Linked DNA regions of Caenorhabditis elegans. The protein of the gene in region 1 interacts with the protein of each later gene in a biochemical or structural test. Each region holds a gene or a part of one and is shown on either strand. Other genes may lie near its edges.

Region 1 (8,799 bases):
CGAGAACCCGCGAAATGTCGGATCACTTGACAAGAACGATCCAAGCGTCGGAACAGGAATCGTCGGCGCTCCAGCTTGTGGAGATGTCATGAAATTGCAGATTCGAGTGAGTTTTTTCACATTTTCCGGGGAAAAAATTATTATATTTTAAAGCTAAAAACATTTCCAGGTCGACGATAACGGAAAAATCATCGAAGCCAAATTCAAAACATTCGGATGTGGAAGTGCAATTGCCTCATCTTCCCTGGCAACCGAATGGATTAACGGAAAAACTATCGATTACGCGTCGAAAATTAAAAATGACGAAATTGCCAAAGAATTGTGTCTTCCACCAGTCAAACTTCACTGTTCAAGTGAGCTTTTTTCCCTATTTTTCTCGATTTTTTTCGCAACTAAAAATGTTTCAGTGCTCGCCCAAGACGCCATTCAAGCCGCTTTGAAGGATTATCAGAAGAAGCAGACTAAGAAGGCCTAAGCCTGAAGAATGTGTAATAGACAATTTGTTTTCGTTATAGAAATCGCTATATATAAAAGAGCTTTTTTGTCACCTTTTCAGTTGCATAATGACGAATTCCAGCGGAATGCGACAGAAGCTGTCTCATTGTGATTTTGACGTCTTCGTTTTTGAACTTTTTCGCCGGGAATTCAGGAAGATATTTCTGAAAAAATTAATTTCAGATTTTCCCTTCCGTTTTAAGTTGCAAACCCGAATATCCTCATCAAGATCTAATGTTCCATTTTCAACGCACTGTGCTGCCAACGTGGCAGTTATCGGCTTACTGATGCTCGCAATTCGCATCACAGAATCTCCTGTACATTTTGCAAAACTTTCGAGATTTGCATACCCAAATCCACTTTTCCAAACCATTTTTCCATCCAGCGAAACTGCAATCGAAAGGCCTGGAATACCTTGAATAGCCTGAAAATAATGTCGAATTGGAGAAAGTTATTACACAGACTTGGAATTTAGAGATTTTTCCGCAATTACCTGGTCTCGACACGACAAATTTTTGTTAAATATGAGAAGGTGTGCGCCTTTAAAGAATACTGTAATTTCAAATTCTCATTTCTGTGGAATTTCAATGGATTTTTCACGATTTGTCAAAATATGAGTGTTCTTACTGTTTTTTACAGAAAAAATCGGGGTTTTTCCGATAAAAATATAATTATTTAGTAAAAAACAGGAAAAACACCTATATTTTAAAAAATCGTGAGAAAAATTCCACGGAAACGAGAATTTCAAAAGTGACAGTACTCTTTTAAAGGCGCACACCCTTTCGCATTAAACAAAGTGTCGCGTCGAGACCCGGCACCGTATTTTTGGTACAAAAATCGCAAAATTTCGAGTTCCCAACCAACCATCGTCGTCTCCACTAGCTCCTTGGCTTTTTTGATTTTCAGCAAATTTTCAGATTTTTCGCTTTCCCTCCGGAAAACTGTGGCTCCCAATGGAACAGCAACAGCGGTGGCACCAAGAAGCATCTTTGGACAGGAAGTGTACCATGACATGCTGGAAATTTTTTTTAATTTTTCCAAGCTCTGCGAGCTAGTGACAAATATTCCAAAGATGAAGCAACAAATGGTTCTAGGTGGCAAAAAATAACTTGAAAAATTAAATTTTTATTTTATGTAACAAGCAAAAAAAAAGAAAAAATTAAGCAATCGACGGAGATGGCGGCTCAATTACTTCGATGAGAGCACTGGCTTCCTCGGCTTCGATGAAAGCGTTCTGAAATAAAATAAATGACTATTACGAAAACTATGAAACATCCCAAAACCTTCACTAAATTACACAAAATATTAGAAGAAGCGTCGTCAGTGGCCTGAAGAAGATGGAGTTGGTATCGTGTAGTTGTGCTTTTTTCGACGAAGACTATGTTGGTTCTGAAATTGTTATTAAAATTACGGTCTCAGGTCTCGAAGCGAACGGAATTTTTTCTTGGTGATTTTCATCTAATTCATAATTAACCAATCGCACCTTCCAAATCCATCGGCATACGTCGTCAAAAGTATCAGCTCGATCAGTGGAATCCTCAGTTTCACTAATCGTGTTCTTCTCGAAGAAATCCGAAGTCCGTGCTTGGTGACCTCCATGTAAACCTTAAAATTCAAAGTTTTAATTATATTTCAACAAAAAACGGGATCTTCTGCGATTTTACACCAAAATTACGGTTTTGGGTCTCATCGCGACAAATTTTTGTTAACTATAAAAAAAATGGTGTGCGCCTTTAAAGACTACTGTAATTTGAAACTTTGTGAGTTTTCACTGATTTTCCAACGATTAATAACTGTTTTCTTGTAAAATATATTTTTTTATCGAAAAACAAAACAAAAAGAAAATCGATACAACAACAAGAATTACACGTTACAGTATTTACTCTTTAAAGGCACACAACCCTTTGCAAATAACTGTGTCGTGTCGAGACCGACAAAAATTCTGCGTTTGTGTAATATTCCCAACCTCCTCATGAGAATCCCCGTTGTTTTTCGGTAATTTCCCTAAAAGTTGGCTATTTTCCAAGTGCTCAACAATTTTTTCCTCGAGAGATCGACTGCAAGACGTTCCATTTTGAATTAGAGAATTTATCTGGAAAATTAAATGTTTTTTTTCTGAAGAAAACCTAGTAAACTTTAAAAAATTCCTTACCTCTTGAACTGCCACGTATAATGCTGAAATTTTCGGGTCTGTCATTTTTTTTTTTGAAAAATGTTCAAGCGAGTTTCTGGCGTCATAATGTTTGCGGAGGACTCCCAACTGATAAAAACCTTCCCCATTTGAAGTGCTGGCGGTGGCCTAGAAATCTCAATGAAATAAGCAGAGTTTTATTTTCAAGTAAAGGACAAGAAAAAATCAATAAAAAAGATTTTATCGTTGAGCGGGTGGGGTGTTCGTCACACTTGAACCAGTAGTCTCGTCGGCGATTAGTTGACTGTTGAAACGAAAAGCATGAGGAGTTGCAATTGTCGAATTTTGGAAATTAAGAGTTGTATTGTCACGGAATGGGGTGCGCTGAAATTTGAACAAATTAAAATATTTTTTTGAGTTGAAACAGTTCGGAAAAATGCTCAAAAATTGTGTGAAAATTGGAAATTGCCGGAAAAATCGATAATGTAGCTCATTTCGTAGAACTTCTACTAACCGAGTTCAAATTAGCTCCATATGGAGTGTGGGGTCCAAGAACAGGCTTGAATGATGGTGTAAGCCTATTTGTTAGTCCGGTCTGAAGCCCGGGAAGCCCAGAAGGAGCTGGACTAAACCGTTGGGCTCGGTAATGGGCAATTTTTTCTTTAAGATTCTCATTCTCCATGCTCAGCTTCTCAAAACTATCCATATTCTCGGCGGCCTTTAATTTCTCGTTCTCCAGCTCCTTCCTCAAGATTCCAATAGTTTCAGTGAGACTCTCAACCATCGAATCTTTTTCCTTCAAATCAGCTTCCAGCTCTCCTAGTTTTCTCATATCCAGACTTTGTTGATTCTGTTGTTGGGAGTTTCGCTTCAACAGCTGATCGGCCTTCTCCAGGTTCCGTTGAGCCGTGCCAAGTTCTGCTCGAAGCTTCCCAATTTCTTTCTGATGAGCCACATTTCGTTTCTGAAGCTGATCCACTTTTCCTTGTTCTTCTCTCAACATATTTCCAACAATCTCCAGCTCCTCCTGATTTTCTTCCAATTGCTTTTGCAGCGACTCCGTGTCTTGTTTCAAATCAGCCACTTCATCTTCTTTATCCTCAACTAATAATCGAATATTCTCTCTTTCCTCTTTCACCAGCTCCACCTCATCTTCCAGCTCTTTAAACTTTTCTGACATTTCTTCGAATTCCTCCTTCACACCAGACAGTTTTTCAACTTGTTTTTCCAAATCTCCACATTTCTGCCGTAGGCTTGCTAGCTCATCTGCAGATTTATAAAAAGTGGAGAGTTTCACTGCTTGACTGGAACAAATTTTCAGAAGATGTGAAATTAAATGATCTCCGCGGACTGCGTGAAGCTTGATGGAAAAGATTTTTCCTTTCGAAATAGGAGTCTTCGAGAATAGCTCAAATCTGGAAGAAAATAAAAAATTAAATTTCAATATTAGGTAATCTATTTCCCTTACGAGCAAAAATTCTTCTCGGCATCCAAAATAATATTGATTTCCGTCGGCTTTCCTGGATCAGCAATACTATGATAACCTGCTTTTTTCCGTGCATCAACCTCCCCATCTTCTTCCAAATTTTTCACAATATTTTTACATAACAAGTGTTGAATGATAACTTTCGGAAAAGCATCGAAATCCACTGTTAAATCGTGATCTCGAGCCAAAATCTGATATTTCTCGTTGTTCAACGTTTCCGAGAATAGAAATTCAAAATCATCGGAGCGGCTGATTTCGAATTTTAGCTCCTTTTCTCCACTGGTTTCGTTCCTTTGCTCTGATATTTTCAGCTTAACTTTTGTTTTGTATGCCCTGAAATTCTGTTACTTTTGAAAATCGTTTGCTCCCTTTTCTTACTTAAAATCCGGTTGATTTAGGCTCAACGGCTGTAGAAGTGAGGCGATGAGTGTTTGATCGAATAATGCAATTTTGCTAGTCATTTTTGTGGGAGAAAATCTGAAAAAAATTATGTTAAAAATAGGAAAAAACAGCAGAAAATGAAGAATAAAAAATTTGCGCAAAAACAATAAATTTGAGATGGCGCGCTCTATGGGACTACGGTGTGCGATTGCGGACTTGGCAATTGCGGACAAAACATTGTAAACTACGCCTAACAAAAAATCGCATTTTCTTTTTTTTTTCACAAACTAAAATTCCCCATTTCAGCCCATTTTCCGTCAAATTTTCACATTTTTGAAGATTTAATAAGGGAAAATAGAGAGTTTCCCGCATTTTCAATCATTTCTACAATCCTACGTCGTTTTTTTCTTGTGTGAGCCACTTATCCCGTTTTTTAACAATTTATCTCATTTTTCAGCTTTTTCAGCTTTTCCAGCAAATGAAGCGCATCCAGTCGGAGCTCTTTGCTCCTTATCGATTCTTGGGTGTGGTAACCGGTGATGTAAGCTTTTTTTCCGAATCTGAAGTGAAATTACTTATTTTTTCCAGGTCGCCCCGTCAATTCGTTCAACATTTGTCGCAAAAAAGTCGGCATTGTCAGTTTTGTGCCCAATTGATAATGTAATCATGCAATACAATGGAAAAAAGCTTCGTGCGATTGGAATGTCGGAACCTTTAAGCGATAAAGTGTCAGCAGTCGCGTCTTCTAGCACGTAAGCGGTTTAGAAAAATGCAAAAATAATTATATATCATTTCAGGAGCGTGTTCGCTGCTCACGGAACCAACATTACTTCTCTAGCATTCTGCAGAGATATCAAAGATTCCATCGACTTGGGCGCCAAGATCAAAATCATGACATTAATCGGAACTCAGCTGATCGCAGTTGATATTTCTTCTGGAATCCACGTCATTGATACATCAGAAGGAGGCCTTCAAATGAGCCTATTGATGGAAGGATCCGACGATTTTGAAATAACGGCAATCTGTCACCCATCCACGTATTTGAATAAAATCGTGGTCGGCAGTAGCACTGGTCGAATGAAAATTATCAATTTCCGAACTGGAAAAGTGATTCATGAGTTCCAGCGAAGTTTCGACTCGAGAATCACAATTATCGAGCAAACTACTGCCTTAGATGTGGTAGTTGTAGGGCTGGAAAATGGTGAAGTGATGCTTTTCAATGTGAAAATGGATAAGATCATCACATCGTTCCGACATGACGCAAAGATCACTAATGTCGCTTTTCGGTGGGTTGTGTTTTAAATTGAAAAATATTATTTAAAAAAATTATTTCCAATATTTTCAGTGACGACGGCGAATCAACAATGGTAACTGCCGATAAGAACGGAACAATGGCTGTGTGGGATCTCGAGAAGCAGGAATTAATCGGAAAAATCACGGGAATTCACTCTGACGAGATTAATTGTCTCTATTTTGTTCCAGGGGAGCCTATCATGGTAATTTCCTGTTAAAGGTGGAGTGCGCCCAGTGGGAAAATTGCTTCAAAACACGCCTATGGGGTCACAATGACCGAATATCATGATAAAAAATTCAAAAAATTTTTCCTGATTTTATATGATTTTTTGAAATTTGAAAAAATCTCAGTTTTCTCCTAATTCCTATTTGAATTTCCGCCAATTGGAATCGTTCGATGGAGCGCACTTGCCTTATTTTTATCAATTTATTTTATTTTTTCTCATTATTTCACTGATTTTCTCCATTATTTGTGTATATATTTATCGGAAAGAGAAGTAAAAAAGCAAGATTAATGCAAAATGTTTGTTTAAAAGTGATTAAAAATGCGTAAAACTGTAAAATTATGATTTCCGACGACAACAACAAGATTTTTTAAAAAACACTTTGCATTTATCGTGAATTTTTCTCTCTTTTTCCGAAAAAAATACACAAATAATAAAGAAAATCAGCCGAAAAATGAGAAAAAAATAAAATAAATTAATAAAAATAATGCAAGTGTGCTCCATCGAACCATTACAATTGGCGGAAATTCAAATAGGAAATAGGGGGAAAACTGAGATTTTTTCAATTTTCAAAAAATCATGTAAAATCAGGAAAAATTTTTTGAATTTTTTTATCATGATATTCGGTCATTGTGACCCCATAGGCATGTTTTGAAGAAATTTCCCCACTGGGCGCACTCCACCTTTAAATTCCGAAGAAAAGGTTAAAATTCAATTTTTTCCAGCTCTCCGCTTCACTGGATAACTCTCTGCGTCTCTGGATTTTCGACAGTGCAGATGGAATGCCACGTGAACTTGTCCGCCTGGAAGGACACTCGAAACCATGTGCCAGTATCAAATTTGTTGGAAAAGATCACGTTTTGTCGGCCGGAAAAGATGGATCCATTCGAAAATACGATGTTTCTTCGTTGACAATGAGACAGAAGCTTGGCACAGTTGGACAGGGTGTTAAATTGAATAAAGAAGTTCAAAATGTAGCTGAAATGGCGTTTGGATGGCAACGAGAAGCTGCATGGAATAATGTGTTTTGCAGACAAGTGTACGGGAAACGCTTACTTAATATGTGCCAAAAAGAACGAAATTCCCGGAAAATTGACTCAATTTTGGCTAAAATCTCCAATTTTGTCAACTTTTCCGGTTGGAAATTACCTTTTTTTTCGATTTACACCTTTATTGCATTTTTTTATCGTTTATCTCACATTTTTGGTTTATTAGGGTACACTCAAAGGTGGAGTAGAGTCAAAAATCAACCGTAATGACAATTATAACTGTTAAAAAGTTAAAAAAAAATATATATATAGTCACAGTATCTTTCGGCTAATTTCCTTTAAATAACGAAAATTGACCGAAAGTAACTGTAAATATATTTATTTTTTAAAAGTTTTTTACAGTTATAATTGTCATTATGTTTGATTTTTGATTGTACTCCATTTAAATGCATCTTAAATAGCGAAATAACGTGATAAAAACTATCAAACAATAGCAATAAAGGAAAATAAAATTCAATAAAAATTTAATTTCCGGCTGTTGTGACACGGAAAAGTAGGCAAAATCTGAGATTTTAGGTGAACTTAAGCCATTTTTAAAGGTTGAGTACCGAAATCTGAGAAATATTTTTTAAATGACTTCAAATTTTCCCCGGCTTCGGAATATCTAAATGAAAAAATTCAAAAAAATTTTCCTGATTTTATATTTCAACTTGAAATCGCATTGCGTCCCCATGAAATTTTTCAAACGCCGAATTTTCGCGCCAGAGACGCCATGTGTCGATTTACGAGATTTGTGTAGATTTTCGAAATTTTTTAATATTTATCAGATGCTGATTTCCGTTTTTCAACGAGTTTCCTTCATTTTCGTCGGTTTTTGCCAAAGTTTTTTTGAAAATGTGTGTTTTTTTTTAAGTCAATTAAACATTGTATTATCAAAAAACTAATAAAATTTTCGATTTCCGTCGAGTTGTGACCTAAAAATTGGAAATTTTGTTAGTTTTTTGATAATATAATGGTTAATTGACTTAAAAAACACATTTTCAAAAAAAAAACTTAACAAAAACCGACGAAAATTAAGGAAACTCGTTGAAAAACAGAAATCAGCATCTGATAAAAATTGAAAATCTCGTAAATATACACAAATCCCGTAAAACGACACATGACGTCTCTGGCGTGAAAATTCGGAGTTTGAAAAATCCCATGGGTGTAGAAGCGATTTCAAGCTGAAATATAAAATCAGCGCAATTTTTTGAATTTTTTGAATTTAGATATTCGGAATCAGGGGAAAATTTGGAGTAATTTAAAAATATTTCTCTTTTATGATTTCGATACTCAACTTTAAAGGAATTTTTCAAAAGTTTCATTTTAAAAAATTATTTATTTGAGCAATTTTTGAGCACACTTTTAGTCTCCACAAGCAAAAACCTCCTATATATTTCCAGCTTCTAATGTTTCCTTCCTATTCCAGAAATGACACAAAAATCACCACATGGCAAACGAGAAACAACACCTCTGGAGCATTTACACTGGAGCATGATCGTTTCAAGAAAAAAGTGGATTTTATTGATGCAAATGCGACTGCTCTCTGCGTATCACCTTGTGGAAATTTCGTATTTATTGGATATTCTACAGGTCATATCGATCAATTTAATGCTCAAAGTGGCCGCCACGTTCATTCATTTACTGCTTCCACCACTGTGAAAAAGAGCAAGAAGTCTAAGAATCCACGAAAAGGTCCCACTAAAACCAACGGCGATATTCACAACGACACTCCGGCTGCCGATTCTCCGATTACATCGC
Region 2 (8,799 bases), on another chromosome or scaffold:
GTTAACACATGAATGGAATTTTGGGCAAGCTTGATTTGGAGAGCAAGTGATATATTTTCCATTTGGAATCAAATAGTTTGAACCACAAATATCTGCTTTTCTCCATTGATCGTGCCCATCTCCTTGTGGTACAAATGGTGGAGAGTTTGGTGAGCCGGATTGATCAGCGGAATCATCAGATATAGTATCTGGAGATTCGGTTGTTGAAGATGATTTCTTATTTTGACAGGCATCTCTACATTCTTTCGATGTTGAAAACCTATTTTCATTTCCACCACAACCAGAATACAGGAATGGTTGACATACTTCTGAAATTATACAATGTAATTATCACTGTCATTTTGAAGGGTTCATTATCATTTCAACTTTCTAGTTTTACATTTACTTTTGAAATCAAAAAAGTTCCTGATCAAAAATCATTCTTCATGATTTTAAGACTGGTACGAGAGATGACGACACTTTTTGTGGCAAAGTTTAATACATTCTCTCTTACTGTAAGAAAAGTCTAGGGTGCCCTAATTTTTAATTTAATTATTAATTAGTTTGGCAGTTTTCTGAAACGTTATTTTTAGACAAGATTTCATGATATAATTGTAATTTTACCAGATTTTGATATGCCTTGTTAAAGGCGCAGAGATTTTTTGCCTCGGCTAGCAAAAAAAGTTTTCAATTAAATTACTCTGTTTTTAGCGAATTTCATGGTATTCGTTTTATTTTTCTGTTCGAATTGTCTCAAATGAGTTTTCAAAGTATAATAAAAAATACTACCATCAACTTTTTGGGCGCCGAGATCCGCCTGTATATATCCGTGCGCCTTTAATAAGGCATGCCAAAATCTAGTGAACTTACGATACGAAAAATTTTCAAAAAGCGCTACCCTAAACGAGTTCTTGAAATTTCGAGAATTTAAATGTTAAAAATTGCTTATTATTTAAAAGTATAAATTCTAGTTACGAACAAAATATTATTCAAAACGTTAACTTACTCATTCTGGTATCAAAATAAAAAGATCTTTCTGCTTGGCTTCCACTACATACATTACCACTATCCTTTGGTTGAGTACAATCAAAGCTGAATACAGGAACAAGAAGTACACAGACTAACAGGTGGAATCGCATTTCTGTAGATAAATGGGTTAAATGTTTTTTTTTTTTTAAATTAAATTTTTAAAAGAAAATCCTGATAAAACTGTGGTATCAGTGTTTAGAGAGAAATGGGAAAAATCGCAGAGTTTATAAATGGGGAGAGTACAATGGAACAGTTGAAGTCCAAACATCTGGGTGCTCTCTCGAACTTTTTGAAAATGCCAAAAAACAAATTTGCAAAGATGAACAAGACACACCTAATCTTTTATATTTTCTAATTTTCCACCTACTCTCTATAAATAATCAATGTCAATATTTACTAGATTTTGACAAAAGAAATTCAAAAAATTCGGGTGCAAAAGTCAACAGGAAGAGAAATCAAAAATAGAGAAAGGTAGTGATAGTTCAAAACGCTTGCTTGCATATGGAAAATCAAGTGAAAGTGTATCTTTTCAATTGGAAAGTCTGAAGACAGCAAGTGTTTTAATACAGGAACACATGTGTACATGCCATAACAGTTTGTTTTAAAAGTTATGAACTTGTAGTTTAAAAATTCGTAGAACTTCTCCAATTAACACGTACACTACTAGAATTTTCATTTTTATTTCGTACACAAATGAAACTCTTGAAGGAGACCGATGGAAAGGTCAAGTTGGTACTTGTCAAACAATGACAGAAGTGTGAAGTGCTGAAAATCGAATTAAGTTCGAGACTATCTCGATCATATGATCAAATGAGAAAGAATCGATGAAATTCAAAATTTATTCAGGTCACAGCTGGAAGTAATGGTTTTAGTACAATTCACAGACATTACACGTAGTGATTAATGATAATTTTAAAACGTCAAGAGTTAAACACATTTGATATCATTTCCTGCGAGCGTATTTTTCACGAATACGGCGTTCTCGTTCAGCTGGAGTCTCAGGTACCGCTTGCTCGTGATAGTTCTGTCCCCGTTTATTGACTACAACATCCTCTTCATGATCTGATGAATCTTCCACGTAGTATCCAGTTCGATTGTTTCTAGCTGTCGTTTTTCCAGCTGCTTCTGACGGATAATAGCTAATACTTTGACCCTTTTGATAGAGTGAGTGACATGGTTGATCCGGTTCGTAGGTACGGTATGAGTCAGGAGCTAGAAAAGGTTTTTTTGAATAGTGAAGAGACTTCTCATTTTTGACTTTTAATTCAAATTTTTCAACTGATTTGAGGATTTCATCTTAAAATCATTTCGTAGTATAAAGTGTTTTCACTACGAATGGTTATCAACTTTCAAACATTTTTAATGAATTATTTGATACATTTTGGAATGCGTGAATTATTATATTTATACAATTCTAGCGGACGAATTCTGTGTTTGAATATTGAAAAATTAAATTACCACGATTATCACGTCTCTCATTTGTCCACTGTCTAGAATCAATAGAAGCGAGTCCGTTGTCATATCGAATACTTCGTTCTACCGTAAGTGTTTCTCTCATCAAAGCAGGATTCACACCAGATCCGTATCTAACTTCAGACATTGGTGGTGGTGGAGAATATGCAGCTCTGTTAGCATCACATTCAGCCTGAAAACAAACTATTTCTATCGGATTTAAATACACTACTCACGTCTGCTAGAACATTATCAATTTGTTGGCGAAACATTGGGTCCGAGCGAAGGCGTTGCTCAATAATTGTTAATGCTTCTGGAGGTATAACACCGTCTCTTTTGATAACTTCTCGTGCCGAAGCGATCTTAAAACGGAGTACTTTTTGATTTATTTTTTATCTGAATTCTCACTTTACTAGCTGGCTTCTGCTGTCTTGATTGACGAGGACTCTCATGAAAATTTTCTTTGTCTTTTTCAACTGGTTCGATCGCTTGCTGTTTAGGAATCGTTATCTCTGAAAAATTATTATTTATTGAATTTATGGGATAATATATATTCAAACATACTCTGAAAGAAGTTTGACATCAATTCTTGCATTTTAACAAGATTTTGAGCATTGAGCTCTTCTTGTCGCCGGGCCGTTTCTTCTTGAATCTCTGTTCGTATCGTTTGCAGTTCTGTTTTCATAGCGTCCCGCCAGTTTTCAGCTGCCTGTTCTTCAGTCGTTGTCGTATTTTGGGCAGACATTGTTGAAGCAAGCACTTTTTTTGAATTCCGAGATGTTCCCTGAAAGATAATTTAGTGGAATTATGCCATGGAACAATTTTAATTTAATTACCTCGACAGTTTGGGAAACGTTAACTGTTTTTCCAAACGCAACTGTTTTTTGGCGAAGCGCTGGATGCGAAGGTGGCTCTTTTCTTGGTTTCGGAGCCGAAAGACACGATTTTTTCTTGGCTACTTCTACAGCGGCGACAATTGGCTGCGTAGATGGTACTGGGGGTTTTGTCCTTTCTTGTGGAAGCTGAAGAACTTCTTGAAAGGCAGGGACTTCAGAATCTTCGAAGACTCTCGGTTGATCCACAAACTCCTGGACTAAATTGGCAATTTTAACACTTTTATATCGAAAACAACTCACCAGTTGGTTTTTTGAAGTAAATAGAGCAGGGTAAGTCGTCGTAATTATTCATTCCCGCTTAATGCGAGGTCATTTCTGTTAAAACTATGAAATTGGAAAATAAAACGTTTTTTCTTTAAAATTGGCGCGTTGGTGTCGCGGGGGCGTGGCCTCTGCTGCAACCCCCGCGCACATTTTTTGCAAGATGAGCGCGCACATTGTATATTTTCTCACATTTCTTTTCGCATGACCATTCGGGGACGAAAGAAGATTGTAATTAAATTAAATGATATTATTATAAAACAACAGAATTTTCTACTTTCTCATATTATCTGCAATTTAGAAGAATGTTCCTGATCAGTTGAACAAATTTAGATTGACAGATTTTCAAACAAAAAATCTTCTCAACCTACACAATTTTCCAATGTATTAAAAGTATTAAAAAACAAGTAAACACTCCCGACTGGTTTTCTAAAAATTCCGAGAAAATTTTTCCTCTGTACACAGATAGACAGCGAGACACAGAAAAAGTGTCTCAAAATAAATCAGCGTGGTAAAAAAGTCAGTGCGAAGGAGCCAACAGTATATGTACATTATACACACAATGTTTGCTCCGTGGGGTCAGATCAAAACTGGAATTTGGATTTGACTGTTGGTGGTGTTGCACGGTAGCAAGAGCTTACACGATTGCCAGTACAATAGTTTAAAGGGGCGGGAATCTCGATGGCCTATTTAAAAGAAATCCAGAACTCGAGTACAACATTTTCACGTGGCAAAACTAAAATGGCACTTAGATTGGCTGTGGTGAGTTTTAAAATCCTTTTAATTATGAGGTTTGAAACTTAGTTAAATTAAAAACTACTAAATCCAGAAATAGATCTACTTTAGATCTACATACGACTTTCAGTTAATTTAAATGTAATTATTATTTAGATTCTCTCCCTATTGTCTTTCACTGCGGCTCAATCGACTTCTGTTGACTGTTTTGCTGCACGGGACTCTGGAAATACTTGCGCTGAGAACAGTTCTTCTAGAATGTTCTATTATCTTCCAAGACTTGGAACGTGTCAACCATTCATGTATCAGGGATGTGGTGGTAATAGTAACCGGTTCAGTAGTGCACAAGAGTGTAGATCAGCTTGTACCAATGCTCAAGCTCAAAGAGACTCGGAGTCAAGTGATGAAACCGTTCAAATGAAGTGTAAGTGAGGTTAGCTAGTAACTATGGCAATTATTCTAAAAATTTTAAGCTGCTTGCTCTGCTACCTATGACACTGACCACTTGACACCAGTGAGATGCTCAGCAGGAGCTAATACTTGCCCACAGGGTCATAACTGTATTCAATCATTCTGTTGTCCAACATCCAGTAAGCATCAAATGTTTAAATGTTTTATTCTTAAATTTCAAATTCACAGACTATCTTTGCAACTTGACATATGACTCTGGAAAGTTTGCTGTCGGAGGAGAGAAAAGTGACAAATACTTCTGGGTTCCAAAATACACAACTTGCATGCGTTTCTCATTCTATGGAACTCTCGGAAATGCCAACAACTTCCCCAACTACAACTCATGTATGGCAACCTGTGGAAATCAAACAAGAACTTCCCAATAAGACGATATTTGAATTCCTGGAATTATCTGTATTATGAAAAACAAGTTATTTTTAAGAGTTGGCATTTTTGTAGTTTTTTTTCGGGTAATTTTCAAAGTATGATTTAACTGTATTATCATCCACTCATAAACAATTTTTATCTCATTTCTTTTAAATATTTTTTATATAATCTAAAAAATAATTTTGAATGTGATGCAAAAATAATAATTTATATACATTAAGGCAACGTTTTTCCTTTTGGGAACTACAAAACTTCAGTTATATTTATCCTGTAATTTGTCTCCATGTCAAGAGTATGGTTTTCAATCAAAGTACAACCAGGTTCGTTTATTATTCAGCCCTAGTTTAAAGTAAAATCTATCACTAAAAATAATACCCCATTTTCTCTAATAGTATTGCGACCCACACCTATAATATCAAACTCACATCTATAACCAGTAAAAAATTTTACAGAAAAATATCTATAGAAATACTTCCTTTTTTCTCTTTATCTGAACCTCGTTTGCAAACTCAACACGGAAGTAACTAGAACCAATTGCATCCATTTTGACATACTCTAAACAACAAAAAACACCGTTTCACAACAATTTTTTATCTTTCTGTCCAATCCTTCCACTTCCTGAATGAAACAGAAACAATCATCAAATCCAAAGATAACAAGAACACATTAGATCAATTGAACATTTTGCAAGCAATCGGAACAAATGTTTTTATAATTGTGGGGGATCATGCTGTAACTGAGCTTTGTGGTATAATAATCCATACATTTCTGTCACGTTTTTTAAACTGACAAGAAAAAGGTTTTTAGTTTTTTTTTTAAACGAGATATGTGTCATTTGAAAGTGTTCCATAAGGATATGTCACTGCAAATTTTTAAGCGGCAAAGCTCCACTCTCAACCCCTCTAGCATCAGTCTGAAACTGTTCCAGTGCATTTTTTCACTACTTTGGAGGCCTGTAGAATTGCTCCAAAATTTTTTTTTGCAAACTTTCAATGTTTTTCAGAACGTTTACAAGTAGGCAAACAATCTGGGAGATTTTTGAAAAATTTTAATTTTTTTGAAAAAAATCTGAAAACTCGGACCGAGTGGTGAGAAATGTAGTCACACGGCCGGAACAATGAATTTCTTACAATTAGCAGAAAAGTAGATGTAGGTTGCTTTCCGGACGAGCTACGCCTGCTTCGGTGACAGGTCCCTGGAAGGTGCCTACTTTTTAAATGCAAATAGTACTTCAAAAACAGTAAAAATATTTTTTCAACTTAAAAAATTATTGTAAAAGCGTATCAATTACTCAGGTTACAATTCACTAGAAAAATGGATTTTAAGAAGTCTATTCGGAGCTAACTGAAACTAAATGTTGTGTATTGAGCGAGTGACAAGGAGAGAAGAAGTTTATTACAAGAGAGTGTAAGAAGTAATGAATTATAAAGAGAGGTCGCTTAGGCGATAAGTTCATGATGACCCAAAGGTCACGTCTGTATAAAGTTCAGGTTTACGTTCCGTCCACAACATCTCCCCTCTTATATGACAAAAAGCCAGAAATTATGCCTGGGCTAGGGGCATCACGACCAGAGGCGGTATATCGACCTCTGCGGCGAGTGGAGGCATGATCAGTGTTTGGGGCTGATCCTCGCACAACTTGTCGTGGGTGGCTCTGTCGAAGAGAATGACTAAGGAGAATACCGGGTTGGAAACGCTCGCCGTCACTCGCAACATCGGATTCCAGCAGGGGGTCCAGATGGGTTTCTTTTATTGGCGAACTTCCAGCAGTATCCTGATCGCCACTGTTGTGTATTGAGCGAGTGACAAGGAGAGAAGAAGTTTATTACAAGAGAGTGTAAGAAGTAATGAATTATAAAGAGAGGTCGCTTACGCGATAAGTTCATGATGACCCAAAGGTCACGTCTGTATAAAGTTCAGGTTTACGTTCCGTCCACAACATCTCCCCTCTTATATGACAAAAAGCCAGAAATTATGCCTGGGCTAGGGGCATCACGACCAGAGGCGGTATATCGACCTCTGCGGCGAGTGGAGGCATGATCAGTGTTTGGGGCTGATCCTCGCACAACTTGTCGTGGGTGGCTCTGTCGAAGAGAATGACTAAGGAGAATACCGGGTTGGAAACGCTCGCCGTCACTCGCAACATCGGATTCCAGCAGGGGGTCCAGATGGGTTTCTTTTATTGGCGAACTTCCAGCAGTATCCTGATCGCCACTGTTGTGTATTGAGCGAGTGACAAGGAGAGAAGAAGTTTATTACAAGAGAGTGTAAGAAGTAATGAATTATAAAGAGAGGTCGCTTACGCGATAAGTTCATGATGACCCAAAGGTCACGTCTGTATAAAGTTCAGGTTTACGTTCCGTCCACAACACTAAAATTTTTGAGACGAATATCATTAAATCTTCATTGAATTAGTGAAATGAATATTCCTTTTTCGTTTTTTTTTAAGTTTTTTTACATCGATCAGCAACATCAGGTCAAATTTTAATGTTGATCTATCCCAACCCACTTTTGTGATGCCATTGTGAGTCAGAACTCTAATTCCACGTTTCATTGATGTTGATCTAATTTTCTTCTTTTCTTTTCTCAACAGAAAATTGAAAACATTGAACACGAGTAACCACTGAACTCTTCGGGAAAAAGAAAGAAAAAAGAAGTTAGGAGAGTTATTGTTTGGGTACGCGAGAACTGTGTCTCTGTCGAAGTAAATATAAAAAGAGAGACCGAGCACCATCAGAGCTCTCACCTAACTTTGCCAACTCTACCTTTTCCCATTTTCTTTTCATCATGTTATATTCTTGGCAAGGAACGAAAATGTTTTCTGTTACACTGTTAGTGGTTTCATGCGGCATTTTGGCAGCTGCTTATCCATATTCTCAACAATATGGAAACTACGATCAACAATATTCTCAACAATCTCAATACTATCCATCATCTGGACAGCAAGGATACCGCGGTGGTTATCAAAGTAATCCAGGAATGCAGGGAGGATACCAGGGAAATGGCCAAGACAGCTATCAAGACTTCCAAGGTTATCAGGGATATCAAAGAGGTCAAGGAGGTCAAAGAGGATATCAAGGATACCAAAGTAATCAAAGAAGTCAAGGAAGTTATCCAGAAAGATATGATTCATCAATGTATTCTCCAGTCATGGATCTAACAAACTATTATGGATCCCAAGGAACTCCACAATATTATGGGTCAGTTCTGAGTTTTTGCCCGCCTGTGGCTACTCTTGGCACTTGAATTACAAAAAACAACCAAATTTGGTACTTGAAAAAACATCACGTATTTTTGGATTGAGACGTTGTTTGAGGGAAAAAATGAAATTAAAAGTAATTTTTCGTTAATTTCGATAGTTTTTTTTTCCAGATACCCATCATCTGCTTCCTATCAAATGACTCCATACTATCAAAATCAAAACCAAGGATATATGCAACAGCAACAATACAACACACCATCCCAATCATCTTGGTCACCAATGTATTATGGCAATGGATATCAATCACAACAATCCCAGCAGCAACAATCTTCAATGGGAATTCGTCCATATCAGAGTTCATGGGGTCAAACACAGGGCACAAATACTTGGGGAAGTCCATATCAATTC

What was found.
Region 2: the proteins of sas-6 (region 1) and sas-5 are reported together in a solved structure, tested with the Caenorhabditis elegans proteins (one study listed by BioGRID).

What each region holds. Positions count from the first base shown.
Region 1 is NC_003282.8:13,784,137-13,792,935, forward strand, and holds sas-6 (Spindle assembly abnormal protein 6), read right to left. Parts: upstream 4,596-8,799; 5' UTR 4,574-4,595; coding exon 4,491-4,573; intron 4,446-4,490; coding exon 4,095-4,445; intron 4,042-4,094; coding exon 3,141-4,041; intron 3,011-3,140; coding exon 2,867-3,010; 3' UTR 2,809-2,866; downstream 1-2,808. Other genes in the region: lact-9 (Beta-lactamase-related domain-containing protein), read right to left, coding at 549-659, 707-919, 1,360-1,509; iscu-1 (NIF system FeS cluster assembly NifU N-terminal domain-containing protein), read left to right, coding at 1-106, 170-353, 408-475; icap-1 (Integrin Cytoplasmic domain-Associated Protein homolog), read right to left, coding at 1,655-1,729, 1,779-1,884, 1,979-2,100, 2,462-2,587, 2,648-2,692; Y45F10D.7 (Small-subunit processome Utp21 domain-containing protein), read left to right, coding at 4,972-5,034, 5,082-5,245, 5,291-5,779, 5,839-5,989, 6,736-7,049, 8,468-8,799. UniProt on the Caenorhabditis elegans protein: Central scaffolding component of the centrioles ensuring their 9-fold symmetry. Required for centrosome biogenesis and duplication.
Region 2 is NC_003283.11:11,605,628-11,614,426, reverse strand, and holds sas-5 (Spindle assembly abnormal protein 5), read right to left. Parts: upstream 3,691-8,799; 5' UTR 3,649-3,690; coding exon 3,597-3,648; intron 3,554-3,596; coding exon 3,297-3,553; intron 3,245-3,296; coding exon 3,025-3,244; intron 2,973-3,024; coding exon 2,869-2,972; intron 2,823-2,868; coding exon 2,697-2,822; intron 2,654-2,696; coding exon 2,467-2,653; intron 2,221-2,466; coding exon 1,952-2,220; 3' UTR 1,831-1,951; downstream 1-1,830. Other genes in the region: tag-290 (BPTI/Kunitz inhibitor domain-containing protein), read right to left, coding at 1-308, 986-1,118; piit-1 (BPTI/Kunitz inhibitor domain-containing protein), read left to right, coding at 4,359-4,379, 4,509-4,776, 4,826-4,942, 4,992-5,188; idpp-16 (Prion-like-(Q/N-rich)-domain-bearing protein), read left to right, coding at 8,004-8,389, 8,562-8,799.